Canis lupus familiaris: one gene and its partners. The protein of the gene in region 1 purifies or fractionates together with the protein of each later gene. This does not show direct contact. Links are inferred from orthologs where the notes say so. Each region holds a gene or a part of one and is shown in the gene's direction. Other genes may lie near its edges. The genes, in order: CNOT1, CNOT8, CAPZA2 and CAPZA1.

Evidence for each region.
Region 2: the proteins of CNOT1 (region 1) and CNOT8 purify together in Homo sapiens (co-immunoprecipitation; 5 studies listed by BioGRID and IntAct, with this or other methods). This does not show direct contact. The link is inferred for Canis lupus familiaris from reciprocal best matches to the Homo sapiens genes CNOT1 and CNOT8.
Region 3: the proteins of CNOT1 (region 1) and CAPZA2 purify together in Homo sapiens (affinity purification with mass spectrometry; 3 studies listed by BioGRID and IntAct, counting the BioPlex papers as one, with this or other methods). This does not show direct contact. The link is inferred for Canis lupus familiaris from reciprocal best matches to the Homo sapiens genes CNOT1 and CAPZA2.
Region 4: the proteins of CNOT1 (region 1) and CAPZA1 purify together in Homo sapiens (affinity purification with mass spectrometry; 3 studies listed by BioGRID and IntAct, with this or other methods). This does not show direct contact. The link is inferred for Canis lupus familiaris from reciprocal best matches to the Homo sapiens genes CNOT1 and CAPZA1.

Annotation. Positions count from the first base shown.
Region 1 is NC_049223.1:57,401,667-57,405,888, forward strand, and holds part of CNOT1 (CCR4-NOT transcription complex subunit 1), read left to right. Parts: intron 1-666; coding exon 667-840; intron 841-1,600; coding exon 1,601-1,750; intron 1,751-2,534; coding exon 2,535-2,715; intron 2,716-4,222.
Region 2 is NC_049225.1:55,808,477-55,812,698, reverse strand, and holds part of CNOT8 (CCR4-NOT transcription complex subunit 8), read left to right. Parts: intron 1-3,777; coding exon 3,778-3,939; intron 3,940-4,222. UniProt on the Homo sapiens protein: Has 3'-5' poly(A) exoribonuclease activity for synthetic poly(A) RNA substrate. Its function seems to be partially redundant with that of CNOT7.
Region 3 is NC_049235.1:55,951,562-55,954,939, forward strand, and holds the end of CAPZA2 (F-actin-capping protein subunit alpha-2), read left to right. Parts: intron 1-970; coding exon 971-1,111; 3' UTR 1,112-2,472; downstream 2,473-3,378. UniProt on the Homo sapiens protein: F-actin-capping proteins bind in a Ca(2+)-independent manner to the fast growing ends of actin filaments (barbed end) thereby blocking the exchange of subunits at these ends.
Region 4 is NC_049238.1:63,671,178-63,676,081, reverse strand, and holds the start of CAPZA1 (F-actin-capping protein subunit alpha-1), read left to right. Parts: upstream 1-1,875; 5' UTR 1,876-2,330; coding exon 2,331-2,369; intron 2,370-4,904. Other genes in the region: ST7L (suppressor of tumorigenicity 7 protein-like), read right to left, coding at 1,404-1,875. UniProt on the Homo sapiens protein: F-actin-capping proteins bind in a Ca(2+)-independent manner to the fast growing ends of actin filaments (barbed end) thereby blocking the exchange of subunits at these ends.

The DNA of each region.
Region 1 (4,222 bases):
GTGCCTCTCTCTCTCTCTCTGTCATGAATAAATAAATAAAATATTTAAATAAAAAACGTTTTTCTGTTGTTAACTCCAACAAATACTTAAACTGCCATTACATTTTGGGCCATTTGGTCATGATATATCATTGTGATTTCTAGTTCCGATATTTGGCATTTTTGTGTGATTTTTCACATCAAGTTTTGGTATCAATATTACGCAAATCTCATTGAAAGAGCTGGAAAATATTCTTTCTAAATTTATTTTTGAGATCATGAAAATAGTATTCATTTTTCCTTAAATATTGATAATTAATTTTTTACCAGTAAAGCTATCGAGGCCTGGATTTTAATCTTTTCAAAGAACGAGCTTTGATTCATCTTTCCTTCAGTACTTTTAAAACATGTAATTGATTTTGGCTCTTTTACTTTCTTGGTTTTCATTAGCTGCTTTTTCCATCTTCTGCAGACTTATGTCATTTTAATTACTTTTTGCCAGCCTCTTTGAGCATATACATTTAATGTATAAACTCCTCAGAGCTAGTTATTGGTGATTTAAGCCTGTAATTTGTTACTGAGGTATATACTTTTGTATTTACTTGTTATGTTCATAATAGTATAAATGTTACTCTCATTTCTTAACAATGTGGAAACAGCCAATGTTTTTCTCATTTTTAAAAAATAGGGCACTTTGAGGGTGCTGCTGGTTCTTTTGCATGATTTCCCTGAGTTCCTTTGTGATTACCATTATGGATTTTGTGATGTGATCCCACCTAATTGTATTCAGCTAAGAAATCTCATTCTGAGTGCCTTCCCAAGAAACATGAGGCTCCCGGACCCATTCACTCCTAATCTGAAGGTAAATTCCAAACAATTTAAGGAAAAGAAAGTTTTGTCTTAGTATTTTAGTCCTTTCTCTGGTAGTAGACTTATTTAACCCCTTTCCTTGCACACACACACACGCACAAATTTGTTAGGTAAGGATGGTCTTTGCGGGGGTGATCATGTTATTAATATTAAGCTTGCTGAATATTGGTTCACAGTATTTGCCTACTTGCTATTTTCAATTAATTTTTATAGAACCTCAACTGAGGTATTATTTGCTGGCTGGCCCTGATGGCATAGATTTGCAGGATAGACCTTTGTAATGCTCATATTTCATAAGTGTTTTTTTTTTCCATAGGTGTTTTTTATGTCTATAGCCCTGATTTGGCTACTGTAATTTTTATGTATTTTGTCTATTTCAAATACATTATTTTCTTTTTAAAGTAACAAGTATGATGTTCTGTTCTGCTGGGGCATCTTTTCAAAGACTAGGGATCTTGGTGTGAGGAATTTCCTCTGTACTCTTTGAAATCCAAGTCCAGGAAACAATTAGTAATATACATTAGACCTCTTCACAAAAGGTACCTATCCTGCCTTAATTTGAAAAGATAATTTATTATAGAATGAGAGATTTTTATCATTTTGTAGCTAGATTCTTTTAATTAAAAATTAATAAAAAGTGGCAGCTTTTATCAAGACATTTACAATGTGCAGTTTATTTTTTTAAGGCAGAGAAAATTTGCTGTTAACTCCTACACATGCTTCTGGTTTTGATTGTTTTATCTGTCTGGCAGGTGGATATGTTGAGTGAAATTAACATTGCACCCCGGATTCTTACCAATTTTACTGGAGTGATGCCACCTCAGTTCAAAAAGGATTTGGATTCTTATCTTAAAACTCGATCACCGGTCACTTTTCTGTCTGATTTGCGAAGCAACCTACAGGTTAATTTGTTTGCCTTTTTAGAAAAACACTCAGGCTACCCACAACACTATGTATAATATTATTTGGAAGTCAGTGTTTTCAACTGGATTTAAAATTTTTAAAACATACTGTTTCTAATGGTTGGATGAGATTAACTAGATTATGCATTTTACTAGTTGTCTTATCACCAACACAAAGCTATTGCCTTGGAAGAGACAACCAGGAAATAGGTTTATTTTCTGTAAGAATTGTACTGCTGATAATTGGCACCTGTTAGTACGCTCAAGATTGTTCTAAATGGATTCTAGTTTAGTTTGCTATACAGAAGAGGACTTGAAATTGTGTTACTACCTTCCAGTCTTTCCACACCACACTACTTACCCCCTCCAAATAGAAGATTTCATGGAGTAATCTCCACACCTAATACGGGGCTCAGACTCAACCTCGTGATCAAGAGTCACACACTCCACCCACAGCCAGCCAGGCACCCCTCCAAATACTTTCTGTAATTAAGATAATGCAGTCTGACTTTACAAACTTTTTTTTTTGCTGGTACCTGTTGAAGCTTTGGCTTCTAAAAGGAACTCCTGTTTCTGTTATTGACCCAACCACCCTTAGGCTGCTGTGTATTTTGTTCAGCAACCTCACAAAGTCCAGCAGATTTCTAAAATTTAAATCAAAAACTGTTGGAAAAAAAAAAAAAAAAACTGTTGAGAGCAGTTCACCTTTTCTGTGAAGGCATAAAAACGATTTAGAAATACTGAATCCTCTGTGAATAAGGAGCTTTCTGTTTTGTTCATTTAGGTATCCAATGAGCCTGGCAATCGTTACAACCTCCAGCTCATCAATGCACTGGTGCTCTATGTAGGGACTCAGGCCATTGCGCACATCCACAACAAGGGTAGCACGCCATCAATGAGCACGATCACCCACTCGGCTCACATGGACATCTTCCAGAACCTGGCTGTGGACTTGGACACTGAAGGTGAGTGAAGCCAGACAATTCTCAGAGTTAAGTTCTTTGCACTTTTTGCTACAGTCTGGTCATAAAATGCTTTAGCCACAACAGACAAATATTTTGTCAACAGGTTTATGGCTCTATTAAAAAAATTTCTTATTTTAATCCAGTTAACATACAGTGTTATAGCAGTTTCAGTGTATAATAGTAATACAATTCCATACATCACCTGGTGCTCATCCTAAGTGCATTCCTTAATTTCTATCATCTATTTAATCAATCTCCCCGTCCCCCTCTCCTCTAATAACTATCAGATTGTTCCTATAATTAAAAGTCTTTTTTTTCTTTTTTTTTTTTTTTTGCTTGTTTTGTTGCTTAAATTCCATATACATGTGAAATCATGTTATTTGTTTTTTCTCTGCTGGCTATTTCAATTGCATAGTATCTGCTTAATGCAGAAAATTCAGAAAATGTAAAGGAAAGAAATAATCCAGAATCCTTACCACATCACTTAATACTTCAATGTGTATGATTACAGTGTTATTTAAGTGTGAAAATAAACAACATTCTTTTTACTAGGCTCTCTTTAAAAATAAGCTCATTTTACATTGTTTTGTTAGTCTGCCTTTCCCCCCATTTATTAGTGTCTGTTAGGCAATGTATTAAGTATTAGGTATATACAAATTAATGCATGAGACTTTCCCTACCTGCTTTGCAGAAAGTTGGCAGTATAGTTTTTCCCATAAGTTGCATCTTGCATGGTGTAATCACATTTCTTTTGAGCTTCTAGATTCATTCTTATTACAGAGACTCCAGTAGGTACTAACCAACTACGTAGTCTTGCTTATTTGAACACATATGGCTTGAGCCCAATGTGGTGTTGTGGTGTTTGAACTCGACTCTGAGATCGAGTTGAACACTTTAACCCACTGAGCTATGCAGGTGCCCTTAAAACACGCATAGTTTAGAATGGATGCCTACTTTGCTATCAGTTCTTGAGAGGTTAATCTTGAGATATACATACACTTGCTTGTCTATTTGTAGAAAGGATTTGAGATAGCTTAAAATCAAGATTTAACAAAATTGAATACCTGATTATCCAGAGCCCAGCAAAAAATTTTTAAAAAGGTAGCCCTTAGTGTTAAAGCTCACCTGGATATAGCCATATCACACATGACTAATACCAAGCAGAGGCAGACAGCCAAACCCAGTTAATACTTACTCCATTATAGTCTAAATTAGCAGTTGTTAAAATGTGGTCTGGACACCCTTGAGGGTGTCCCGACCTTTTAGAAGAGTTGTAAGGTCAAAACTATTTTCAAAATAATGACAACATTTGTGTTTTATTGTTTTGTTTGCACTCATGTTGTCATGAGTATACAGTGGAGTTTTCCAGAGCTACATGAAACAATACTGGAACAGATTGAACACAGAGGCAGAAATAAGAATCTAGCTGTCTCCTATTAAGTGACATTAAAGAAACCTGTGAAATGTAAAACAGTAATATTCTTACCTACATTGTTTTGGAAAATAT
Region 2 (4,222 bases), on another chromosome or scaffold:
GGACACAGTAATAAAATAGAGAATGAAATAAGGATCTCAGATAGTAAAGTCCCTCTTAAAGAACTCTTACAGGTCAATAGTAAAAAAAAAAAAACCCAGTTGAAAATGGGCATCAGAGCTAAAGACATTTCTCCGAAGAAGATACAGATATGGCTAATAAACTTAGGGAAAGATGGTCACCATTATTAGTCATGAGGGAAATGCAAATCAAAACTACAGTGAGATGCTACTTTATACCAACTAGGTGGCTATAATAAAAAAGATACAAGAACAAATGTTGGCAAGGGTGGAGAAATTAGAACCCTCATACATTGCTATTGGAAAAGTAAAATGGTATAGCCTCTTTGGAAAACAGGCAGTTTCTCAAAAGGTTAAACGTAGAGTTACCATATGACCCAGCAATTCCACTTCTAGGCATATGCCCTAGAGAAATGAAAACATAATATCCATATAAAAACTTGTATGTGAATGTTTGTAACAGCATTATTTGTAAAGGCCCCAAAGGGGAAACAATCCAAATGTCTGTGAACTGGTGATTGGATAAAATAAATATGGTATATCCATGCAATATTATTGGAATGTTATTGGACAGTAAAAAGGAAAGGAGCACTAATATATGTTGTACATTGATGTGCTTTGAAAACATGCTAAGGGAAAGAAGCCAGACACAGAAGACCATGTACTGTAGGATTCTGTTTATATGAAATGTTCAAAATAGGCAAGTTTATAGAGTCAGAATAGCTTAGTTGTTGTTCAGGGCGCTGTTGAGATTATGGGGTATAGTGGGGAGTGATTGCATTATGGATATAGGTTTTCTTTTTGAAGTGATAAAATGGTTTGTAATTGGCTGTGGTGGTGGTTGCACAACTCTGAAAATACTAAAAGTGATTGAATTGTATATTTTTAAGAATTCAAAAAATTATTTGAGAGAGTGTGTGTGTGGTGGTGGGGGGGGGTGGAAGGTGGAGGGGCAGAGGAAGAGGGAAGGGAGAGACGCAGATTCCATGCGGAAGGTAGACAGCCAGATGCATCTCATGACCCTGAGATCATGAACCAAGTGGAAATCAAGAGTTGGTCACTTAACTGACAGCCCCCAAGGTGCTCCTGAAGTGTATACTTTAAATGAGTAAATGTTTAGTGTGTGAATTATAGTTTAGAAAGGCTGTTTAAAATGAAAAAGTAAAGTTTTTGTCCACTTAGGAGATGAATTGCAGTTCTGCCCTTTTTCATCTAGGTGATTTGGAGTAGGTAATTTTACCTTCTGTAATTCAGTTTCCTTATCTAAAAAACAGTATTTCATCATAGAAGAAATAAGGAAATAAGGAGTAGATGTTAATTAAAAGTAGTTGAAACTGAAGCCTATTTGATAGTGGGCGAATTTTGATGTTTAAAATGGTGTAGAAAACATGTAAAATTTACCATCTCAACCATTTTTAAGTCTGCAGTTCAGTTGTGCGTTTTTTTTTTTTTTTTTTTTTTTTTAAGATTTCATTTATTTATTCATGAGAGAGACACAGAGAGAGGTAGAGACACAGGCAGATGGAGAAGCAGGCTTCGTGCAGGGAGCCCGATGTGGGACTGAATCCCGGGTCTCCAGGATCACACCCTGGGCCCAAGGCAGGCGCTAAACCGCTGAGCCACCCAGGGATCCCCATGCAGTTCAGTTGTGTTAAATATAGAGTGCTGAGGTGGCTCAGTATTTAAAACTGAGCCTTTGGCTGGGGTTGTGATCCTGGGGTCCTGGGATTGAGTGCCACGTCGGGCTCCCTGATTCACGGGAAACCTGTTCTCTCTGCCTCCCCTCCAACCCCCCCCCCCATCTTTCATGAATAAATAAATAAAGTCTTAAAAGAAAAATGTTTGCATTGTTGTAAAGCAGACCTCCAGAACTTTCTCATCTTGCAAATCTGACACTCTGTACCCATTAAACAACTCTTCTTTTGCTTCTTCCCCAGATCTTAGTGAACCACCATAATACTACTTTCTATTTCTGTGAATTTGACTGTTTTAGATACCTCTTATAAATGGAATCATACAGTATTTGTTGCTTTGTGGCTGGCGTATTTCACTTAACATGATATCCTTAAAGTTCATCCATGTTGTAGCATGTTGCAGGATTCCCTTCCTTTTTAGGACTGAATAATAAATATTTCATTGTATATTTAGAGCACATTTTGTTTATCTCTTCATCCATTGATGGACATGTAAGTTGTTTCCATCTCTTGACTGTTGGGAGTAGTGTTGCTACTAACATGGATGTGCAAACATCTTCACAACCATGCTTTTAATTCTTCTGGATATATATCCAGAAGTGAGATTGCTGGATCATTTGGTAGTTCTGTTTTTAATTTTTTTGAGGATGATGTAATTGTTTTTTTATTTAAGAGAGAGAGCATGCATGCACACATACATGTGCACACAGGGGAGGGTTAGGGAGGGGCAGAGGGAGAGGGAAAGAGGGAATCTTAAGCAGTCTATTTGTCCAGTGCAGAGCCTGATGTGGGGCTCACTCACATCATGACCTGAGCCAAAATGAAGAGTTGGAGGCTTACCTGACAGCCTCCCAGGCATCCCAGAATGATGTAATTTTTTAAGGGGAAAATTTAGGGTAGACTGTCATTTTGAATTTTGTATGAGGTAGTTTTAGTGTATTTCTTATTGGGCCACAATTTGATTGTTCATGTACATTGGAAATTTCTTTGAGGTTCAGAAATAATTTGGGGAGATGATCTGGATCTTTCCTTTAACAGCATTTTTTTTTTTACTCCATTGCCAAAACCTGTTATTTATACCTTGATGGTAATTAATACACAAAAGAAAATAAAGATTGTTTTTATTGTAGAGTTATGTATGTGCTTAAGATAGTGCTTGTTTTAGGTGAAACAAAACAATGTGATTCAACACTGGTTTTAATTTAGTAAGAAAACACTTAAGATTGTGTTTGTTTTCTTTTTTTCCTACTTATCTTTCCTAAGTTTATGTGAAAAACAAATGAAGGGGAAAAAAAAAACAGTGAAATCTAGTGGAAAAGGAGTTACATAATTTATTTCTCTCCTTTTGTGATATATAGTATTATAAATATTCTTCTGTTTAAATTGATGGATGTATCTTTGCAGTAGAATATTATGCCAGAGTTGCAAAGGATGTTGTCTGTCTATGAGCATTGGTCTGGAAAGATGGGCTGTGCTGTGCTGTGTAGATGTAGGGATGAAGGTGTGTATGTATAGGTAGAGAAAACAGTCTTCAAGGATCTATAAACTGAGTTAACAGTTATTTCTATGATGTAACTATATTACTAAGAACATTTAAAAAATTTTTCTAGTATTTTACATATATTTTTTAAAGATTTTCTATATTTATTTACTCATGAGAGACAGAGAGGGGGGAGGGTGCAGACATAGGCAGAGGGAGAAGCAGGCTCCATGCAGGAAGCCTGATGTGGGACTTGATCCAGGATCACGCCCTGGTCCGAACCACTGAGCCACCCAGGAGTCACTATTTTACATATTTTTGTATTGGTTGATTCTGTTTTTTTGTAAGCAGTGGAGGAAATGTTCATCTTTTATGATTAAGAAACTTATTTTGTGAGGGCAAGTCTCACTTTTCCATCTGCCACAGAGATAAGATTATTTATTTTGAGTGCTTGCTGAATACTGGAAAAAATGAATTGGTCCCTTCATTTCAATAATACTTGTTCATTAATAAGGTGATGTTAATATTGCTACCCACTACTCTTAGATTATCCATCAGCTAAGAAGTGAATACCTTCTTTTTTAGAGAGGACATGTACTCCCAGGATTCCATAGATCTCCTTGCTAACTCAGGACTGCAATTTCAGAAGCATGAAGAGGAAGGAATTGACACATTGCACTTTGCAGAGCTGCTTATGACATCAGGGGTGGTTCTCTGTGACAACGTCAAATGGCTTTCATTTCATAGGTTAGTCCCAGAAAATGTGTATTTCTCTTGCTTTGGGAGCAGGGAATTACATTCTTCTGTTATTTCTGCAGTCCTTTTGGCTCTCTTCTTTTGGTCAATTATGAAACAGTTATGAAGTTCAAATGGTAACTTGCCCATGTTTGTTTTTCAAAAAATACTTTGGAGCTCATTCTTGTTTGTTTCACACAGTGGTAGGCTCTGTCATTTGGTTATCAGTGGGTACATTCCAAGTGGAAAGATGGAGGATGGGGTGGGGGATCAAAGCACTTGATCATCTTTTTCT
Region 3 (3,378 bases), on another chromosome or scaffold:
ATAATAAAACAATCTTTTTTGGGTTTTTTTGTTTACTTGTTTTTAATTCAGTGGCAAACTTATAAAAATGTGGCCAAAATTCAGTTTTAGCCAACAGTAATATCTGAGTATTGGTCATAATATGCCAAGATTTTAAATGGTTATTTTGTTTTTGATTGGAAATTTTAATTTATGAAGTATTTCCCAAAGTATTTAGATTATGTGTAATCTGGTCAGATCTTATTTCACTTTATACTCTTATTTTTTACATTTTTTTTATCAGCTTTTAAACCGTACTCTTGAACTTACACATTTAATTTGTGGATTCGCCACATTTCTGCTTCTTGGAAACAATAATATATAAAATTGTTTTGAGTGAAATAGTAAAATAGATCCAAAATGAGAACACACAAATATTAAATCCAATTTACAATTTCATTTCATTAAATTATCCAAAACAATTATAGGCTTTTTTCTTTTAGGAGGTTCTGGCTGGCTAAGTCAGTATAGCACATGATTCTTGAACTCATGACCATGAAATCCAAACCTGAGCCAAGAATAGGAGTTGGACACTTAACTGACTGAGCCACCCAGGCGCCCCTCTCTTAGCTGCTTGGTTTTTTTTTTGTTTTGTTTTGTTTTTTTTAAGATTTTTTTTAACTTATTCATGAGAGACACAGGCAGAGGGAGAAGGAGGCTCCCCGTGGGGAGCCCAATGTGGAACTTGATCCCGGGACTCCGGGATCAAGCCCTGAGTGGATGGCAGATACTCCACCTCTGAGCTACTCAGGCATCCCTTTTAGCTGCTTTTTAAACAGTTTCCAAAACCACATTGGGGTTTTTGACTTTTTTTTTTTTTTTTTTTTTTTTTTTACTTTTTAAAAACAGTGAAATAAGCTGGTTAAATAAAGGTTTTTCTAAAACATCTATGTGTTGTATAAATTGATCTGTTCCTTTTATTTCTTAAACTTTTAACTACTATTTTTCATAGACCGCCATCAGTGAGAATTATCAGACAATGTCGGACACTACTTTCAAAGCCTTACGTCGACAGTTGCCAGTTACACGCACGAAGATTGATTGGAACAAGATCCTTAGCTACAAGATTGGCAAAGAGATGCAGAATGCATAAGATGAACATTGCATGACCGGATCATTTTAATGTTTTTGCGTTTAAAAAAAAAATCATTGCAAAAAGTATTCAGAACTGTCAAGCTACCCAGTCAGATGGGCTGTTGCCATTTAAAATCACTGTAATTAATTAGTTTGGTTAGAGCACAAAGCTTAGCTAATCAACCGTTATTTTTCATTTCTTTTGTTCAAAGAGGACAATTAGTTTAAATGTCTTTTACTTTCTGTTATACCTTTCTTTCTTATAATTAAGAGATGATTCCTCTAGTTTAATGTTAAAAGTTTTTGAAGTGTTTCAAAAATATTTTACTTATCGTAACCCTAAAGTTGTTGTCTTTTGGTTTACGAAGTGGGCAACTTTTGATATTTGCCCAGTTCTTTTTAATGGGGTTAATAATGGACATTCTAGTTTAAGGTGGTTGATGGATTTAGCCATATATGCTGCTAAAGAAATTGTCTACCTTTTCCCCTCACCTCTTCCATTTATGTAAGATTGAGATTAGAGGGAAAGCATTTTCTATATCAATTGTGTTTGAACTTTGAAGAAGGTTATTTAGCTAGCTTAGTGTTTAACTAAACTTTTTTTAAATGAGGCCAAGGTCTAATGCTGTTTTGAGATTCTGAAATTAAATGGAAATACTTATTTCAGAAATGCATTTAATGCTTTTTTTCTTGTGACAGTTACGCAAATTAGCTTGAACTCCATATGTCCCTGAGTTATTTTTATCATAAAGCCACAAATGTATTATAACAAGGCAAATTGTAATATATATAATCCTGAACTCATGACCATGTCTCAGTTTATTTCTTTTCTTGGATTGAAAAGTACTGAAATTCAATGTGACATTAAAATGGAAATTTTCCTATTTATTTGAGTAGAATATCCCTTATCAGTGAGTCATATACTATTTTAAAATACTTTCTTTGGATATTGTGATTCTTAACTGGTTGTAAATTAGAGAAGCTGGGAGTACATATGGTGTGCATTACAGTCTAAATTTTTCCATCTTATGCATCATAAGCGTGTTTGTAATATTTTAAAATATACATTTACTGATGCTACAGGAATTTCAAACCTGTGGTGAATGTTAATATTTACTATAGAGAGTGGGGTGGATTTATGGTTTCATTCAATCGAGTATTGCTTACTATACTCCAGTGGAATCTCTTCCTCACATACTCTTGGAGATGTCTGGGCCTGGAAGTGTTTTTTTAAAAACACCACTTTTATTATGTACAATAAAATATTTCATTAGCTTGAATTGTATAGAATTTAAAACTTTTCTCAAAGCATGTCATTTAATTTCTTTTTAAAAATCAGGCTTGGGCTTTGAAAACACTGAGAACTTAATATGAAATTTGAGTTTGGTTAAATTGTTTTCTCTTAGTTTTGCCATATTGGGATTTCTGAAGAAAATGAATTAGCAATGTTAATTTTCTCTTCCCTTTTTAAATAGGCATTTTCCAAAGTCATGATTCTGAACTGAACACTAGGTAAATCTTTAATTGGCTTGTTCAGTCATATCATTTGGACTATCGTGGGTTTTATCCCCTACAGGTCAGTTACTTTGGATGTTTTATGGCCCTAGAATGTGATCTTGAAAATACATGCATTTGTCTTTAAGGTGATGATTTAAGGGTGAAGTACAGAGGCAAGGGTAAAATTAGGGGAACAGTTAGGAGGCTACTGCAGTAATCTAGTTGAGAGCAAATGCTGACCTGGTCTGAGGTGGTAGCTATAGTCTATAGAGGTGGTGAGTTCTGGATATGTGTTAAAGGTAAAATAAAAAAGATTTGCTGAAAGTTTGGTTGCAGAATATGAGATGAAGAATGCCAGAGACATTTTGGGGTTGAGAAATTGGGGGAAATTCAGGGTCAGCAGAAGGGTTGGTCAGGAGCTCAGTTTTCGATTTCAAGGGGAAATACCATGTAGCAGTTAGATACTGAAAACAGGAGGTAGAGTGGTCCTCTGGGCTGAAGAAACAGTGGAATGAATGGACCTGGGTCACAGGGTTTGGTAGCCAGGCAAAATGAAGTCCAACTCAAGGTTAGTGATGATGTAACGTGACACCAAGGGAGTCCGCTCTGTTAAGCACGTTAAAGCTGCACGGTGCAGGCACAGAGTAGAGGAGTTGAACCAAGGTTGTGGTTTTGCCAAGAGAGGCTGACTCACCATGGGAACGGGGCAAGGTTGCAACGATAACCTCTAAGAACGTAAGCTTAGGTAAGGGAGAGAAATGAGGCCAGGAGAGGAGCAGAGAAAGTGTG
Region 4 (4,904 bases), on another chromosome or scaffold:
TTTTGGTGGGATACAAACCAGCGTTTTAAATTAGAAGGAATTAGCATGTGCATGTATTTGGTATGTCAGCTAGAGAGGCAAAATAAACCAAAGAGAAGAGCAACAGATCGAGAGAGATCTTTGCATCTGACTCACTGAAAGCCTGGACCAGATTTTCCACTTCAAATAACTGTCCCATAAACACAACAGGTTTCGGAAATAAATAAAAATCAATCATAGTTAACTACTTTCATCTAAATGGTGTATCTAGTTAACACATGGAAAAATAAATGATAAAGTCAACGAATAGTTTTTGCTGGGCATATGACTAGTGAGCACTTCATTAACATTACAGAGACACCAAATCAGCTCTTTCAGCCAATATATTTAGTTTGTTTTGATATGTTACTTATATCTGAGCTGATATACATAACCTATGTTCTAAAAAGTCCAAAATATTTCAGAACATTATTTTACAGTATTTCATGTCATCCTGTCAAATAGGTAAGGGAACATGTGCCTTTTCTTGCGACAGAAAACTAAACCACAGGTAGGGACAGTCACAGCCATCACACAGCACAAGTACTTTCATCTTGTTCGGAGCTTGAGTGGAAATATTATCAAGACATGGTAAGAGGCCCTGGGCTCCCATCCGCTTTGCCCTGGCTACAGGTAAGGGGCAGTATTTGCAGAATCCAGGGAATCAGCATCACTTCTTACACGTCCTCGTATGTTCAGCTCAGACTACAAAGCAAGCTCTCTATAAACGTTGAAAGGAGAACCCATCACTGTTGGTGGCTCTCTTTCCCTTCACTTCCTGTGCCGTTTTATTACTCCGGATAAAGCCTACAGCAAAGAACAGGCCAAAATACCACGAAAACCATTTCTTGACAGAACTATCTCAAGATGAGACAATGGCTGGCTAAGTTCACGGCATTTTTTTTTTTTTCTTTCCTTTTTGGCCTTTGAATACATAAGCCCTCATCTTTGTTGTCTAGGTGTGGGAACTCTTCATCGGCGAGAGACTCAGAAGAATGATTTTCAAGGGATTCTACCAGTGCTGGGGGTGTATATAATTCTGCAGCCGATAGGAAAACGCTCTCATCTGTTGCGCTACCTGAATCCTACAGCTTGTCAGGTGGCTCTTCCGCGCGCGGGTCGACGAGGACAGAACCGGGAGGGCGGATCTTAAGAGCTCAAGGGAGGAGCCCATAGCCGAGGCTCAGGTTTGACAATCAGCTGCGGACCTGCGGCCCAGGAGAAGAGCGCCCTGGACCCCGCACCGCCGACTCCTTCTCCGAAGGCCTGCGGGGACTGCGGACAATCTCCGCCCTTTGCCCTTTGCCCCCAGCCACTCTCCTAGCCCCCCTCCCCCCTCCCCTCCCCCCCCCGCCCCCGTCCCCAGGGAGGTCTGGGCCTCTCACCCGCAGCCAAGTTCTCACACAGCCTCAGCGGAACCCTCAGAGCGTAAAGCAGTCCGAGCCCCGCCACGAACCACAGCGAGGGCCCAGTCCCCGCCAGCCCGGCCCGCAGTCGCTCCCTCCAGCCCAGCGACGGGCTCGGGCCGGGAGTAGGTGCGGGAGGAGCGGCCGCAGCGCTCGCTGCCTCACCCAAGCCGCCGCCGTCCGCCATCTTGCCGCTCCCGCACGCTCCGGGAGCTGGGAGGGGAGAAGGGCAGGAAACCGGGAGTCGGGAATCCTGGGATAGTGGCGGACCTGAAGGTGGCCTCTGTGAAAGCTCAGGTCCGAGGAACGCGGACCAAAGCCATTTGGAAGGTGGAGGAGCGTCCCAGTCTACCTTTCCTTCGGAGGGCGGGAAGGGGAGGCTAGCGGCGCCGATTCTGGAGGAACTGGACTGAGATGTGACCTCGGACTGCTGAAACGTTTTTGCTTCCATACGGCTGAGGGTCACCTTTAACCCTGTTTATGGGGTTGGAATAGCCACCGGCCGGTTCAGGGCCCGAGCAGCACGTAACCCTTTGGACTCGGCTGCCACGGAGATCACGGGTACTGGGAAAACCTATAGTAGCCATCGCTATTTTGTCGGAAGGAGCTCGGGCGTCAGTAGTCGAAACACGCTCCCAGCGCCTCCTGGATGAATGGGGACATGAATGCAACTCAATGAGAAAGCTGTTAGACTTAAAATCCTTTAAGGACCAGCCTTGAGGCCGAGCTACGGACTCCCCGAGGGCCGGCGCTCGGAACCCGCACCCCCGCCAGTAACTGACATGGCGCCCTCTGGGCCGGCATTTCCGGGCGGGTCCTTCCGACGGCCCCCGCGGTGATTCCATCACTCAGCTTCCTTCCCGGCCTGCCTCGCGCCGGGGCCGGGCTGGGCCAGAGCAGCCCAAGATGGCCGACTTCGAGGATCGGGTGTCGGATGAGGAGAAGGTAAGGGGTCCGCCTCTCTCTTTTGCGTCCTCCCGCGACAGGGAACAGGGGCCTGACCTGGCTGCGGTGGAAACCCTGGCAGTGTCCCCAGGTGGAAGAACCTTGCTGGGCTGTGCTGGCGGCATACCCGCTGCAGCTGGGACACTTCCGTCTCTAGGGGCATTCCTCTGCCTCACAGTGGCCCCAGTTCCCCATTCCTCAACTCTTTTCTCTCCCTCTGGGCCCGAGTGACAACCCAGTGACCTTCCCGGAAGAGGAAAGACTTTCCTTTATTGAGTCGTGGCTGTGGACTCTTTTTCTGTGATTAAGAGCGGGGTGGATGGTGATGTCTCGGATCAGGAAGCAGGTATTTTACCGCCTTTAACTGTCGGGGCTCGCCCCAGCCCCCCATTTTTAGATATGATTGAGGCTAGTTTAGGGCGAGTCACTTCCTGGTCAGGGTGGCCTCTTAACTTCCCTTTTGCTCCTCCTTCCTCAGGAAGTGATCTTGCTGTCACGACTCCTCGACAGGGAGAGGTCCCCGTGTGTTGCCCGCCCGTCCACTTTTCTCATTATTGGCTGAACTAATTCTCAGTAATAAATGTGCAAGCCTTAGGATATTTACCTCAGGATTTGAACACCACTCTTACCTATAGACCCTCCCTTGATTGATTGCACGTATGTACACAACAAGCCATGACTCTCCATCCCTTGCGTCTTACATACTATTAAGGGTAATTTTTGAAAAATAGTTTTTCTTGTTCACAAGTCAAGAATAGCCAGCGGATTTTTTTTTTTTTTTTAAACTCCATAAAGGTTTTATATAGCACATAAACTTCATGGTTAACAGATTCGGTCTGGACAAAAGCATCGTCTTTGATGCTCCACTGTGGTGTCATTGATTATAGTTAAATTTGTAAGTGTGTAATTTGCGTATTTACTTCTTTAAAAATGTTTTAAGTACAAGCGCATGCTCTGCGTTAGGTGGAATGACTTTTTGCTGACAACTGTACAGCTTTCTTAATGCTTTGTCAGGCTTTTCAGTAAATACTTGATTTTAGGGCCTGCAGAAATTAGAATGATTTCACTAGATGACTCGCTATAGGACAAGAGTTATGTCTTTTATTTATTTCCCACAGTGGCTGTTACAAAAGGTGCAGTCTTGTGTGCTCTATAAATGCATCTGGGCTCTTTCTTTTTTAATACAAGAGAAGAGATGACACAAGGGAATGTTAATGACCCAAGAGTATTCTGTACAGAGTAGTTTGATATGTCATACCTATGTATGCCATGTCATTTTGAAACCCTGAAGAATGTGCTAAACACAAGCCATTGAATAATACTTTGGCGTTAAATTTTCTCGTTCTTGAAAATTTTTGTGTGTAAAACTTAGGGGAGAAAAGGGTGTCATATATGAATTTATGCCGAACAGAATCTGCAATAAAATGTCTAGTCTAAGGCAAATAGTTATGATGCCGGTGAAATTAAATTATAGTAAAAATCACAATAACCCTACATTTGTTAGCTGAACTGATGGTTCACTTGTTTTAAGGGAAAATATTGTTAAAATTTCACTAAATACTACATTTACCAATATTGTTGGGTTTTTGTCATTGACAAAACTAGATGACAAAATTAGAATGCCTTTTTAATTAAACTTGAGAAAATGTATTTCAAGTGCAAATTGAGATGTCTTTAGACATGACAATGTTCAACAACATTAATAGTCTTGATTTTATAACAGCAGATTTGTGACCAGATTTGTAATCTCTTAGCATACTTTTGTTGCTTAATTTTAATAATGATACAGCAAACGTGTTAAAAAATATTTTTAAAAATCTTTAAAAAAAAAAAGATTCTTTTCCTATAAACTTTTCACAATGAAAGTACAATTACAGAAAAATTTTGCTTATTTTTTAAGATTTTATTTATTTATTCATGAGAGAGATACACAGAGAGAGAGAGAGAGAGAGAGAGAGGCAGAGACACAGGCAGAGGGAGAAGCAGGCTCCATGCAGGGAGCCTGATGTGGGACTCCATCCTCGGTCTCCAGGATCACCGCCCTGGGCCGAAGGCAGGTGCTAAACCGCTGAGCCACCCAGAGATCCCCCCCCAAAAAATGTTAAAATCAGGGATATTTTCAGACATAATTTGTATTGATTCCTCCTTGAAGGAACTCTGAAGTTTCCATTTTATCCTTTTTAAGATCTTAATTGCATTAGATTTCGAGTTTTTAAGGCATTTATGTCATGATGCTGAATATATTTTAATATTGCTTTTTATCTTTGTTGCATCTCCTAAAAACAGTGAACCCAGAGTTAAATTTGGTGTCGATAGTCTTTGATTTCCTTGCAATTATTTCTATAAAAGCTGGTAAGATCAACCATTCTCTTAAGTAACTGCTTGGGGTTTTTATCACTTTACAAAGAGGAAGTTGGGTTTTTTAACTTCTACATTGTTACCTGAAATGGTCATGATGAGCTGCCTAAATAAAACAGGAAGCTGAAAGTATAAAATAACTTGCAAAATAAATGCTTTTAGTTTTATTCTTGAGTT